3 linked regions of the Mus musculus genome follow. The protein of the gene in region 2 interacts with the protein of the main gene of each other region in a pairwise test. Links are inferred from orthologs where the notes say so. Each region holds a gene or a part of one and is shown on either strand. Other genes may lie near its edges.

Region 1 (4,237 bases), on a different chromosome or scaffold from region 2:
ACTCTCCGCAGGAACCCCTACTTCTACGGTTGAAATTTCTCAATGACTCTGAGCAGGTAGCCAGGGCCTGGCCTCAGGACACCATTGGCTCCTTAAAAAGGTAAGCTGGGAAGAGGGTAAGAACAAAATGCTAAAAATGGGGTGGGTGTCTATAGAAGGGTCACCCTATGAAGCTCTCCCTTATTTTCTGTTTGAAAAATCTGTCTCCTCACATTATACACCATTCCTGTTAATCTGTCCCCCAGAGGCCAGGATCTGGGTGGTCAGGTGTAGGGGTGGTGAAAATTGGGATTGGTCCTCTGAACAATGGGCCAGGACTGCCTGAGGCCTGCTCTCTTACCCAGGTCCCTCTCTCCTCAGGACCCAGTTTCCAGGCCAGGAACAGCAGGTTCGGCTCATCTACCAAGGTCAACTGCTAGGAGACGACACTCAGACACTAGGCAGTCTCCACCTGCCCCCCAACTGCGTTCTCCACTGCCACGTGTCCACGAGAGTCGGTCCCCCACATCCTCCCTGCCCACCGGGGTCAGAGCCCGGCCCCTCCGGGCTGGAAATCGGCAGCCTTCTGTTGCCCCTGCTGCTTCTGCTGCTGCTCCTGCTCTGGTACTGCCAGATCCAGTACCGGCCCTTCTTTCCCCTGACCGCTACCCTGGGTCTGGCCGGCTTCACCCTGCTCCTCAGTCTCCTGGCCTTTGCCATGTATCGGCCGTAGTGCCTCCACGGGCTTTTGGCAGTGTAGCCAGCCCCTCTGGACCTCATTCCCCAAGGCGCAAAGGGAGCTGCTGTCTGCCCAGGCCCACTTCACCCGCTGCCTGTCTTTTCCCACTACCCTGGAGCCCAGCTTTGCGCCGCAGAGGACTTCGGGTGTTAGCGGAGGCCGCTCCGTGTGATCTTCATAGCTCTAGGCCATCTCCTGGGGCTGCTGGACCTCAGCCTTCGCTGGCAGTGGGCTCTTCTGGATCAGGCACTTGCTGTCGCTGCCTTGGCCGCCAGGGCACCCCAATGGGCCCATCTTAGTGTGCTGACAGAGGATCTAGATACTTCTAGTTTCAAAGAGCTGCCTAGGCTGAATTGGAAACTGGTGGACTGGGAGACTGGTGAAGGGGAATCGAGAGGGGCAGAGTTGTTTTCTGGAATTTGTGCAGATTAAAGAAACTGTGACGTTTTCCTACCCAGTGTGTCTGTGTGTTGCTTGAGGGTGGGGAGCCCTTGTTCTACGAGAATGGAACCTGCCCTAGGTCCTGAGTGCTCAAGCTACCCCAGGGCTGGACAGAGGACCGCCACTCCCGGCACCTTTCAGCGCAAGCTCTGTGGCCCCGCCCCCGCGACGTGCGCATTTCCCGGAAGCGGAGGGCGGGGCTCGCGGCTCCTCTGCTCGCAGCGCCTGCTGGGAGCCACGTCTCCGCCGCCCTGGCGCTGGACTGCGATTGGCGTCTGGGGGCGATCCGGGGGCTGCTGGGAAGATGGCGGACTCGGTGGCCCGCTGATGAGGAGGCCGCGGGGGGAGCCCGGCTCCCGGGCCCCAAGACCAGCTGAGAGAGTGACCTACGCGGGGCCCGGGGAGTCATGTAGGGTGGCGCCTGAGGGGCGGACCTCGGGAGGGCGGCGGGAGCTGGTGTTAGTGGTGGTGACCACGGGCTGCTCGCCTCTTGGGGCCGGGACAGGGTGTGGGGGCCCCTCCCGCGGACAGCATCAGCTCCGCGCCTTGGCAGATAGCTCACTCGGGCTCGGCGCGCGCCCCGCGAGCTTGCGCTGTGTTCTCATTTCACTAGTGAGGAGGCTTAGGCAGAGAGGCGAAGACATTAGTTCAAGGTCACGCAGCTGGTAAGTGGGAGCGCCCAGCATGGGACCCAGCACCGGCCCGCTACTGAGCCTGCGTTCCACCCACCCCGCCGCCGCCGCCTCCTGCGGGACGGGGAGGTGGTCTTCAGGGCTCATCGCCCGGACCACCGGGGCTCCCAGGCTGGGTGCGACCACTAGCCCTGTGAATGACCTCAGGCTTAACCTCTCCGCCGCTCTGGGCCTGTTTCTCCGCCTGAGAAATGAGGTAACAGCCCTGAGACTCCTCATCAGCTTGCACGGAGCATCGAAGGCGATATGCATGTGAAATGTGAATAGAATTGCACTGAGCACACTTAAAGAATTAGGGTTTCTGTGTCAAGGAATGGGAGAAGAGGGGCAGACTGGGTAAGAATACCAGGGCAATCACACGGGATTTTTTTTTTTTTTAAACTTCAGGCCCTTTGGATGGGGAGTCAGGTAAGGACTAGATAGCATATTTTTCCCCTTGGAGGAAACCTCACCTGGTTTTCTGGGCCACCCCCTCAGGGTCTCCACCACCCAGCTCCATGCTTCGAATCCTGCTCTCTGCCCAGACTTCCCCTGCTCGGCTGTCTGGTTTGCTGCTCATCCCACCAGTACAGCCCTGTTGTTTGGGACCCAGCAAGTCCGGGGACCGGCCTTTTGGAGGAGGCCCTGTGCAAGGCCTTCAACGGCTTCTGGAACAGGCACGGAGCCCTGGGGAGCTACTGCGATGGCTGAGCCAGAACCCCACCAAGGTGCGAGCTCATCACTACCCTGTGGCACTCCGGCGTCTGGGCCAGCTCTTGGTGTCTCAGCCTAGGCCCTCTCCTGTGGAGCAGGCCACACTGCAGGACTTGAGTCAGCTCATCATCCGAAACTGCCCCTCCTTTGACGTTCACACCATCCATGTGTGTCTCCACCTTGCAGTGTTACTTGGTGAGGAGGGTATTGGAAGGTGTGGGTGTTTCGGGAAGAATAGAGGAAGAGAGAGCAGTAGAGGACCCAAGCCATTGATAAAACTCATGTTCCCATTCACCTCCCCAAGCACATTTGCTGATTGCTCTCTGTATCCATGGTGGATGTCCAAGTCAAGCAGCATCTTTCTAACTGCCGGGTACTAGGTTCTTCCTAATACAGTGCTCTAGGGAGCCACAGACGTATAGTCTGTTATACTCGGCACAAGGTGACTTTTGTATAAGGCTTTCCCCACACACTGTTGATACATCATGCTCACATGATACCAAATCACTCCACTGAAACAAGTATTTTCCCATTCAAGAAACGATGACAAGGAATTTGGGGACTCATTCACTCCACTTGGCAAGATGGCACACCCCAGCTCTCTTACCAGGATGGTCTTCATCCCTCTCTCAGGCTTTCCATCAGATGGACCACTCCTGTGTGCCCTCGAGCAGGAGCGCAGGTCCCGTCTCCCTCCAAAGCCACCCTCCCCACATCGGCCTGCCATCTATGGTGGTCAAAGGTTGGAAGTGGCCCTGAGCTGCCCCCGTTTCCTGCAGTACCCTCGTCAGCATCTGATCAGAAGCCTGGCAGGTGCCAAGGGTTAAAGGCAGAAGGGAGGCAAGGGATGAGATGAAGCCACTGGGATGAACCACCTGGGCTAGAGTGCAATCTAGCCCACAGGAGTCTTCCTTGAAGACACTGTATGACAGGCTGTTCTTCACAGAGGCAAGGCCAGAAGAACTGACTCCTCACGTAATGGTGCTTCTGGCCCAACACCTGGCCCGGCACCGCTTGCGGGAACCCCAACTTCTGGAAGCCATTGCTCATTTCCTGGTGGTTCAGGAAGCCCAGCTCAACAGCAAGGTGGGCTGGCCCCCCACCCTTCCACGTTTCTCTGAGTTGTCCTTAGCAACTTGGTCAGGCCCAGCCCCTATCCAGCTTGTTTGGCTTCTCCTGGAGCAAGCATTCCAGCTAGGCTGTGTTCCTTACCCCAGGACATCTGTCTCTTGCTCACTGGTTTTCCAACTCCCATAATCAGTAGAGTAGTATGTCTAAGGCCTTGAAACTTTCCAACGCTCCTGCATAGCTGCTTAGTTCTGCTCTAGTCCTGTGAGCCATACCCCACAGTTATGTTCCTACTATGATATGTAGCTCAAGACACTGCTTAAGCTGCAGAACTTGGGGCATGTGCTGATACGGAGGGCATTCTGCCTTGAAAGCAATTACTGACTCAACCAGGCCTCCCTGAGGTTGTACCTATCAAACATGCCAGAGAGCTTGGCATAGTGGCATGTGCCTTTAATCCTGGCACAGCGGCAGTAGCAGGAGACTCTGGGTTCGAGGCCAGCCTGGTCTGCATAGCAAGTTCCAGGTTAGCTTTAGAGACATAGAAAGACCCTGTCTCAAATGGGAGAAAGTAAGAAAGACACAGAGCGGAGTTTCCTGCTGGATAATGTTGCCTTTTTCTGCA
Region 2 (3,656 bases):
CCTCGTCTTCCCAACGCTGGCTACTTGTTAGGCCTCCACTCACAACCTCTCCTCAGGGGCACCACTGTCTGCAGCTCCCCCACCAGGCCTGGCCCCTCTGAGCACTCTTGATCGGTCAGCTTCCTTTCTGTGCTAACAACTATTAGACAAGGCTTCTTCACTTGCATATCATTTGTTTCCCATAAGAACAGAAAAGACAGGAAAGAGAACTGTTTTTATTTTGCTCATCCAGCTGTTTCTAACATCTAGGAAAATGGGTGTGCGGTAAATATTTGTGTGTTACTTAATTCCTGGTTAAAGTGGAAGATGTTTCCATGGTAACCATTTTTTTCAAGAATGACCTTGTGGGACTGGAGAGGCAGCTCAGGTGTTGAGAGCAGCGGCTGCTCTCTCAGAGGACCTGGCCTTGAGTCCCAGCACCACATAGCAGCTGACAGTTCTCTGTAACTCTAACCCCAGAGGATCCAACACCCTCTTCTGGCCTGCAAGGGCACTGTAAAACATCTGGTGCATGAAGGCAAAACACCCATAATCATAAAATAAAAATAAATGAATGTTAAAAAAAAGAATTAACTTGGGTTTCCAATTTGGGGAGAGGCTGTTGAGAGCCCCTCCTCTCTCCCCCACTTAGTCCCTCCTTAAACCATAGTTTAGTGTGACCAAATTCCACTACACTTGTTTCAGCAAGTGTTACAGAGTTGTTACATCTTCCCAATACTGAGGGTTGGCCTAGTCCTGAGAAGACGCTTGCCTACTTTGCAATGAAGTTCTTACTCATACAAAGTTTTCCTTTCTAATTATTTTTAATGTAGTCATAATTCTTCACTAAATCCTTCCCACTCCACCCCACCCACATTTATTGAACTTTTTTTTTTTTTTCTCAAAGGGACTAGATAAACCCTCACACACAGAGAGAGACTTTCTTTGGAGTAACTCCATTCACACACCTAAGATGGCTGACTGAACATTTTTTTCCCCCAAATCTGAGCAGTGGGCTCAGGGAGATCCATGACAGCCATTAGCAGAAGCAGAAGGTTCTCCATGCTGCCCTGTTCTGTCTTCTAGTCACAGCGACATTTCCAGAACTATAGCAGGTGATGCGGTATTGCATGCTTTTGAAACTCTGGCTGTAAAACCAGTGCCTGATAAATAGAGCTATATCTCCGCCTCCAGGAGATGGACACCAACATATCAAACAATTTGTTTTATTATAAAGCTACTAGTTACTGGTAATCAGTGCTCAGTGGGAAAGGGCCAGCACGCACCCTTGCCCTCTGGGTTTTGGGGGGCTCCTCACTTTTCAATCCGTATCCGCTTTCTTGTTCTTTAGATTCTGGAGGAAGCCGACCACCGATTTTGCCACCGGGAGGAAGAGCCACATCTGCCAAGCCCTTTTCACCCCCGAGTGGCCCGGGGAGGTTTCCCGCACCCTCCCCAGGCCACAGGAGTGGGCCCCCAGAGCCACCCAGGAACAGAATGCCTCCCCCGAGGCCTGACGTGGGCTCAAAACCAGATAGCCTTCCCCCTCCGGTACCAAATACGCCAAGACCTGTTCCGTCGAGTCTGCACAACCGGGGATCCCCAGCAGGGCTGGGAGCCCCCAGGCCCCCCTTTCCCGGGAACCGAGGTGCTGCTTTTGGAGCAGGCTCTGCGCGCCAGAACCCCTCCGGCTCCTCCTCTCCGTTTCCTAGGCCCCCTTTGCCCCCCACCCCAAGCCGAGCCTTGGATGACAAGCCCCCTCCACCACCTCCTCCCGTGGGCAACAGGCCCTCCATGCACAGAGAAGCGGTGCCCCCTCCCCCCTCACAGACCAGCAAACCTCCAGTGCCTTCCACCCCGCGGCCTGGGTTGGGTTCGCAGGCACCACCTCCTCCTCCACCGCCCAGCCGGCCAGGGCCCCCTCCTCTGCCTCCAGCTTCCAACGACGAGATCCCCAGGCTGCCACAGCGGAACCTGTCCCTCACGTCCTCTGCACCTCCATTGCCTTCACCTGGACGCTCAGGGCCTCTCCCTCCCCCACCCAGCGAGAGGCCCCCTCCTCCTGTAAGGGATCCACCAGGCAGATCAGGTATGGCAACGCGGGGATGTCACCTCTCTAAAACCCTGCTCTTGCTCTCCCAAATGTCTCAAACAAAACTGAGTAAAGCCATGTATGCTGCCCCATACCGATGGTCTAATGTCATGGTGGAGCCGTGACCTCTCAAGAAAGGGGCCAGATAGTTTGTGTCTAAGAGGCAAGCAGACTTTCATCTTCCACCGGGCCCTGCTCCCTAATGGGAAGCTGGGTTGTCTTGGTTGGAAGTAAGTCCCCATGAGAGTGCCCATAATGCCAAAGACAAAGCAGTTACATCACAACCGGAATGAACTCTTTCCCTCTCCCTAGGCCAGGCTGAGTCTACATCTCTGCCCACAGTGCAGGCGAGCTGGAGAGGTGGCATGTTCAGAGGTCAGGAGCACTTCTAGCAGTGGAAACAAATACCTGGACAAAAGCCTGTAGCTCGGCTCAGAGAGCTGCGGGAGCCCCAGGCTCAGGAGGAAACGTACATCTTATTTAGAAAGTGGTTTCAAATGTGTTGGTAATACACACACACACACACATACATATATATATATGTATATGTATATGTATACACACACACACACACACACACACACACACACACACATATATCTTTATTTTATATCTAAGTATTTTTGAGACAGGCCCTCACATGTAACCCTGGTTAGCCTGGAACTCAATTTGTAGACCAGGCTAGCCTTAAACTCATAGAGATCCACCTCTCTCTGCCTCTGGAGTGCTGGATTGTATGTAATACTTTTAGTTTGCCTTTTCAGTTATTGCTCCTGGCACTGTTGTGACCAAGGTGACAACTACCTTATTCTTGGTAGACAGGGACCCACGCTCCACTGCCAAGAGCATACCCAGGAGCCGGACCCACCACCTACTGTCTGTAATGGGAGAGTAAGATCAGTGGTTTCTCATTTCCTGTGCCTCTCTACCCACCCACCCACACACATACTACACACACACCACACACACATAAACACAACCAACACTCACACATACATACAACCACACACACACACAGAGGAAAATACTGTACATGTAAAAACTTAGTACTGGAGCCAGCAAGGCAATGGGCTCAGCCAGTAAGGATATTTGTGGCCCATGCCTGACGACCTGAGTTTGACCCCTGGAATCCAGGTGAAGATGTAAGGCAAAAGTAAACTTTCTAAAGCTGCTCTCTGAACTCCATATGTGTGACATAGTGTGTGCACACATATACGCACAAATAATTTACATTTTTATTTTATTATATATGTGTGTGTATTGGTTTTGAGACAGGGTTTCTCTGTGTAGCCCTGGCTGTTCTGGAACTCTGTAGACCAGGCTGGCCTCAGAAATCTGCCTTGCCTCTGCCTCCCAAGTGCTGGAATTAAAGGCACGCACCACCACTGCCTGGTTTTAAATTTTTTAAAATCTAGAAATCTTAATTTTTCTAAAGGCCTAAACTAACTTTATAAGTATCTCACTCCTTTTAAACAATTCTTTTGTGGTATCGCAATAATTAGTTCAGTAAGTCCTTAACAGGGTAAAATGCTTTTTCAATGACATGGTTCTCAATATAAATAGTTATCTGTTTCTAATTTCACTG
Region 3 (4,435 bases), on a different chromosome or scaffold from region 2:
TTCTTCCGAAGGTCCTGAGTTCAAATTCTAGCAACCACATGGTGGCTCACAACCACCCATAATGGAATCTGGCGCCCTCTTCTGGTGTGTCTGAAGACAGCTACAGTGTACTTATAATAATAAATAAATAAAATCTTAAAGAAAGAAAGAGAGAAAGAAAGAAAACAGAGACATAATCCACCAAAGTCCCCAGTTCTGGGAAAGTCTCTAGATGCATTCATCTCGCCTTTTGGCTTCTGTAGTTCTGTTGCTGTTTCTGCTAACTGGAGCATGTCGACCCAGGACGCGAATTTTGCGCTTAAAACCTCGCCCCGAGAAAGGCTTGATACTACACAGGGATCCTGAACACCCAGTGTAGTCACAGGGTGGCTAATAAAGACTTTCTCTTGGTAGATACCCCACAGCAAAGACACCGGACACACAGGTGGTACACAGATACACTTCAAGAGAAACATCTATGTAATAAAATACAAATGAAAATGTAATATTTCAGTTAACAAAAACCCAACAAAAATCCAGGTAATCAGAACAATTAACTCGGTGGTGGATGCCAGCCTAGGTTACATAAAATCTTGCCCCACCTGTCTCCTCTCTCACCCCTAACCCTCCACCCCAATGGTATAAACTGGTAATCCTAACTACTCAGAAGCTAAGGCAATGGAATTAAAAGTTCTTGGCCAGTTGGAGCATTTAAAATAAGACCCTGTTCCAAATAAAAACCAGAAAGGAAGCAAAATGGCTGGGAACATAGGTCAGTTGGGACGCCCTGGACTAGTCACGTTCAACTGTCAATCTTGCAAAACCCAGAAAGTTTCTGTTGTCCAGGCTACGGTGAGGTATGTCTACAATGCCAGGAATCAGGTGGCCAAGGACAGCGCTGGGTTCCAGGTCAGCCAGGGTTACTTACATAGATTCCCTGTTTGTTAATTCATAATGTTCAGTTTACTCCGTAGGGGAGGGGAGCGGGGGGGGGGGGATGGGAGTTGGTTCCCCATGGGGAAGACACGTAGGGACTCCGGAAGTTTTGAAAGGGTGTCAGGTTGTCGTGTGTCATGTCCCATGCTCCACTCCCGTCCCTCTTTCCAGTTTTGCTTCTTGGAACAACAGATGCCTTACAAAGGCCAGGGCATTTATACTTCTAGAACTGAGAACAAGGCCTTACAGAGTTGGCACAAGCTAACGACATTACATGGGATGCTCAAGTTTGATCAGTATACATCTGTGGTACCAAAACATCCTTTGCAAATTTGGGGACATGCTTAGAGTTACACGGTTTATCTGACACTCAAGTTTGGAGGGGGGGAGCGTACTGTTTTTTATCCAGCAACTCCTTCAAGACTTGACTTAACTGATCGGATGGTCTTCTCCCACCTGTACCATGGCGGGAAAACAACTGTACTTGCTTCCAAAGGCATACATAAAGACCCCGGGGCCCGGTGAGCCCTTATTTTATACGTTTGCTCGGGCACAGCCCGGGTGATCCTTGCAATCCCGGCCCTGAGCGGGTCAAACGCTCGCCGCCCGGGTCCTAGGTGGTCCGCACCTGCGCGCCCCGGCCAGCCTCTTCCGGGTCAGGTGACCGCGCACGCCCACGTGACCCGGCCCGAGTGCGGGCGCTGGAAGGCGGAAGTGGAGCGGAGTTAGGCGCCGCTGGTGTGGCCGCGGCAGGTAGGTGGCGCGGGGGCACTGGGGGGCTCGGCAGCGAGCGGGCGGCGCGGGGCAGCCAGGGGGCGGCGGGCGGCGCGAGGGGCCGGGGGCGGCGCGGGGCGGGCGCCGGGGGGCGGCGGCTTCCTGTGGGAGGGGCCTGGCGCGCGGTTCCGGCCTCCGAGGAGGGATGTCCCGGCTCGCGCCCGGGCGGGGTGGGCGCGGGGCCCGGCGGGAGTCGCCCGCTGGTGGCGCTTCCGGAAGGAGACCCCCAGCCCCGGGTGCCTGCGGTGCGGAGGAGCCGTGTCTGTCTGGGAAGGGGGCCCGACCTCAGCCGGGGAAGACTCATTTGCTCCCTGGAAGGGGCTGCCTGGGAGTGGGCGTCTGGCTTGTAGGGACAGGGAGAAAAAAATCTGGACGATGCGGCCTGGACCCCATTCCAAGAGTCTTTTTTCCTTCCGTCCTCTTTAAAAAGGATGGCGATCCGGGACTTTGATACCGGTTCTGTTCAGTTCTTTAAACTTCAGGAGGGATCCCTGAGTCTTGATCGTCTGACTCTGGTCACACCCACTTTGCCCTGTTTGGGTAGGGTTTCCACTTGTTGGGAACCTTGCCCATCAGATCGTCTTTCTTTGAGATGCTCCCGGATCGGGTCATCTTGGAGGCCACCAAAAAAAAAAAAAAAAAAAAAAAAAAAAAGACGTGTAGGTGCTTTGCTGTGATCATAACAAGACTTTTAACCTACACTGTTGTTGGCGACCTGGGCCGGCGTTACCTCAGCAACGCATTGACTGCTGAAGTCATGGACAGTTGAAAGTCTGCCCATACCGATTTGAGACCTCTCAAGCTTAAATTATGCAGCTTCCTTTACCATGTGACTGCTTATCTTGACCAGCTGTGACTAGGTGGGGTGACTGAGAAGTTTCTCTTGTGTTCCTTAGAACTGTGACCTAGATCGTAGTTTTTGAGGTTAAAAATACCCATCTTAAGATTCTTCATCCTCTAGGCCTAGGCCTGAAGATGGCTCCAAGTTCCAAGCCAGCCTAAATAAACAAACAGGCCACCCTCTTTTCCCTTCACTTTTGCTAAGGTTTGCAGAAGTGAAGCAAAGTTTATGAATGCAACGAAGGTCAGGGTTCAAATGGGACATTGACAGGAGCCAGAATCACAGGTCGCTAGGGGGGAAAAAGCACTTTGCATTAATATATTAGGAGTTGAAGACTTGGGGGGTATATTATAAGCATTTAAAAGTTAATTTTTGTAGCAGTCTCGAGAAGTCATTCACACTTTATAGATAACAAGCTAAGAGAATTGACTTAAAATAAAAGATGTATTTTTATTTGTGTGTATGTTCCTGTGTGTATGTGCCCACCAAGGACAGACAGAGCATTGGGTCCTTTGGAGCTAGAGATACAGGTGGTTGTGAGCCTCTGGATTTGCATGCTGGGAACTGACCTTTGGTCCCGTGGAAGAGCAGTGAGTGCTTTCGCCTGCATCTCTTTAGTCTCAGCCTGCCTGACATCCTCATTTTGTTTTTCTTCCTTGTTTACTGTCTTCCTGCTAGGACTGTAAATCATTCAAGGGCAGTGATCTTATTTTACCTGACTTCTTTGGCTACTAGCCCCAGGCCTGGTATGTTAGGAGTACTTGGTCAGTGTTTGAGAAGTAAATGAGTTTTTAAAGGTCACACTGCTCGGTGTATGTGGAGAACAAGGGGTTAGAGCATAAGTTTCCCGTCCCTTTCTCTGTTTAGTGTTACTGGTCTATGGAAAGCCAGAACCATGAGGAGAAGGCTTCAGTTGGCTTGTCAGTCTCTTAATTTTTTGTTGTTGTTGAACATTGCACCTTCCCACTTCCCTTCTTTTTGTAATTTTTTATTTTATTTTTTTCCTTTTGAGACAGGCTCTCAGTAAGTTGCCTGGGGTGGCCTCAAACTCCTGTAGCTCAGGCAGGCCTTGAACTTGTGATCCTTCTGCCTCCAACACAACAGTAGTTAGGATTTGAGGCCAATACCACCAGGTCTATCTTAGTCTTTCATTTAGTGACTACATCCCCATCTGCAAAGAACTGATACCAGATTCTCATTTATTTTTATTTTGGTTATTTATTTGAGACAAAAGTTTTACTGTGTAGACCTGGCTGGCCTAGAACTCATAAAGATCCAGCTGTTTCTACCTCCCAAGTGCTGGGATTAAAGCTGTGCGCTATTTACTATGCTCAACCTCTCTCCCTGTCCGGTCCAGCCAGTCCCCTCCCCTCCCTTCTCCCCCCTCCCCTCCCTTTCTCTCTGAGACAGGGTCTTTTAGCTTTTTGATAGAAGGTAGGTTTTAGCCCAGGCTGGCCTCAAACTGGTTATGTTGTGGAGGAACTTACGATAGATTCTCTACCTTCCAAGACCTGGGGTCGCAGGCCTTCATTCACCATTGTGCCTGGCTCAGCGTCTCGTCTCATTCATTTCCAGATCTCTGAAGGTTGCATTGCTTCATTCACAGATGAAGAACTGAGGCTTACTGAAGTCCTGATATTAGATTCTGGAACTAGTAAATAAATGCAAGAGTTGGCTCTCTCCTTCTATGGGTCCTGGGAACTGAGTTCCAGTTGTCAGGCTTGCTGGCAGTCACCTTTACCCAATGAGCCACTTTCTCTATAACCTAGGTCTGTTCTTCTTAGACCTATTACTTTTAATTCATAGAAGCGATAAAAAGTTTCTTTTTTTTTTTTTTTTTTTTTTTTAAAGTACAACTTCCATTTTATTTTTCCAGGGTAGTTTTCCTTCTGTCCTTACAAAACG

What was found. The genes of interacting proteins can lie anywhere in the genome.
Region 1: the proteins of Wipf1 (region 2) and Fastk interact in binary tests that used the Homo sapiens proteins (3 or more experiments, as listed by UniProt). The two-hybrid records come from large-scale screens. The link is inferred for Mus musculus from reciprocal best matches to the Homo sapiens genes WIPF1 and FASTK.
Region 3: the proteins of Wipf1 (region 2) and Wwp2 interact in binary tests that used the Homo sapiens proteins (3 or more experiments, as listed by UniProt). The two-hybrid records come from large-scale screens. The link is inferred for Mus musculus from reciprocal best matches to the Homo sapiens genes WIPF1 and WWP2.

What each region holds. Positions count from the first base shown.
Region 1 is NC_000071.6:24,442,397-24,446,633, reverse strand, and holds the start of Fastk (fas-activated serine/threonine kinase), read left to right. Parts: upstream 1-1,398; 5' UTR 1,399-1,486; coding exon 1,487-1,568; exon of another isoform or gene 1,569-2,047; intron 2,048-2,238; exon of another isoform or gene 2,239-2,328; coding exon 2,329-2,739; intron 2,740-3,082; exon of another isoform or gene 3,083-3,128; coding exon of another isoform or gene 3,129-3,177; coding exon 3,178-3,357; intron 3,358-3,490; coding exon 3,491-3,630; intron 3,631-4,237. Other genes in the region: Tmub1 (transmembrane and ubiquitin-like domain-containing protein 1 precursor), read left to right, coding at 1-100, 361-712. UniProt on the Homo sapiens protein: Phosphorylates the splicing regulator TIA1, thereby promoting the inclusion of FAS exon 6, which leads to an mRNA encoding a pro-apoptotic form of the receptor.
Region 2 is NC_000068.7:73,435,366-73,439,021, reverse strand, and holds part of Wipf1 (WAS/WASL-interacting protein family member 1), read left to right. Parts: intron 1-1,330; coding exon 1,331-2,068; intron 2,069-3,656. UniProt on the Homo sapiens protein: Plays a role in the reorganization of the actin cytoskeleton. Contributes with NCK1 and GRB2 in the recruitment and activation of WASL.
Region 3 is NC_000074.6:107,434,774-107,439,208, forward strand, and holds the start of Wwp2 (NEDD4-like E3 ubiquitin-protein ligase WWP2), read left to right. Parts: upstream 1-1,596; 5' UTR 1,597-1,668; intron 1,669-4,376; exon of another isoform or gene 4,377-4,435. UniProt on the Homo sapiens protein: E3 ubiquitin-protein ligase which accepts ubiquitin from an E2 ubiquitin-conjugating enzyme in the form of a thioester and then directly transfers the ubiquitin to targeted substrates.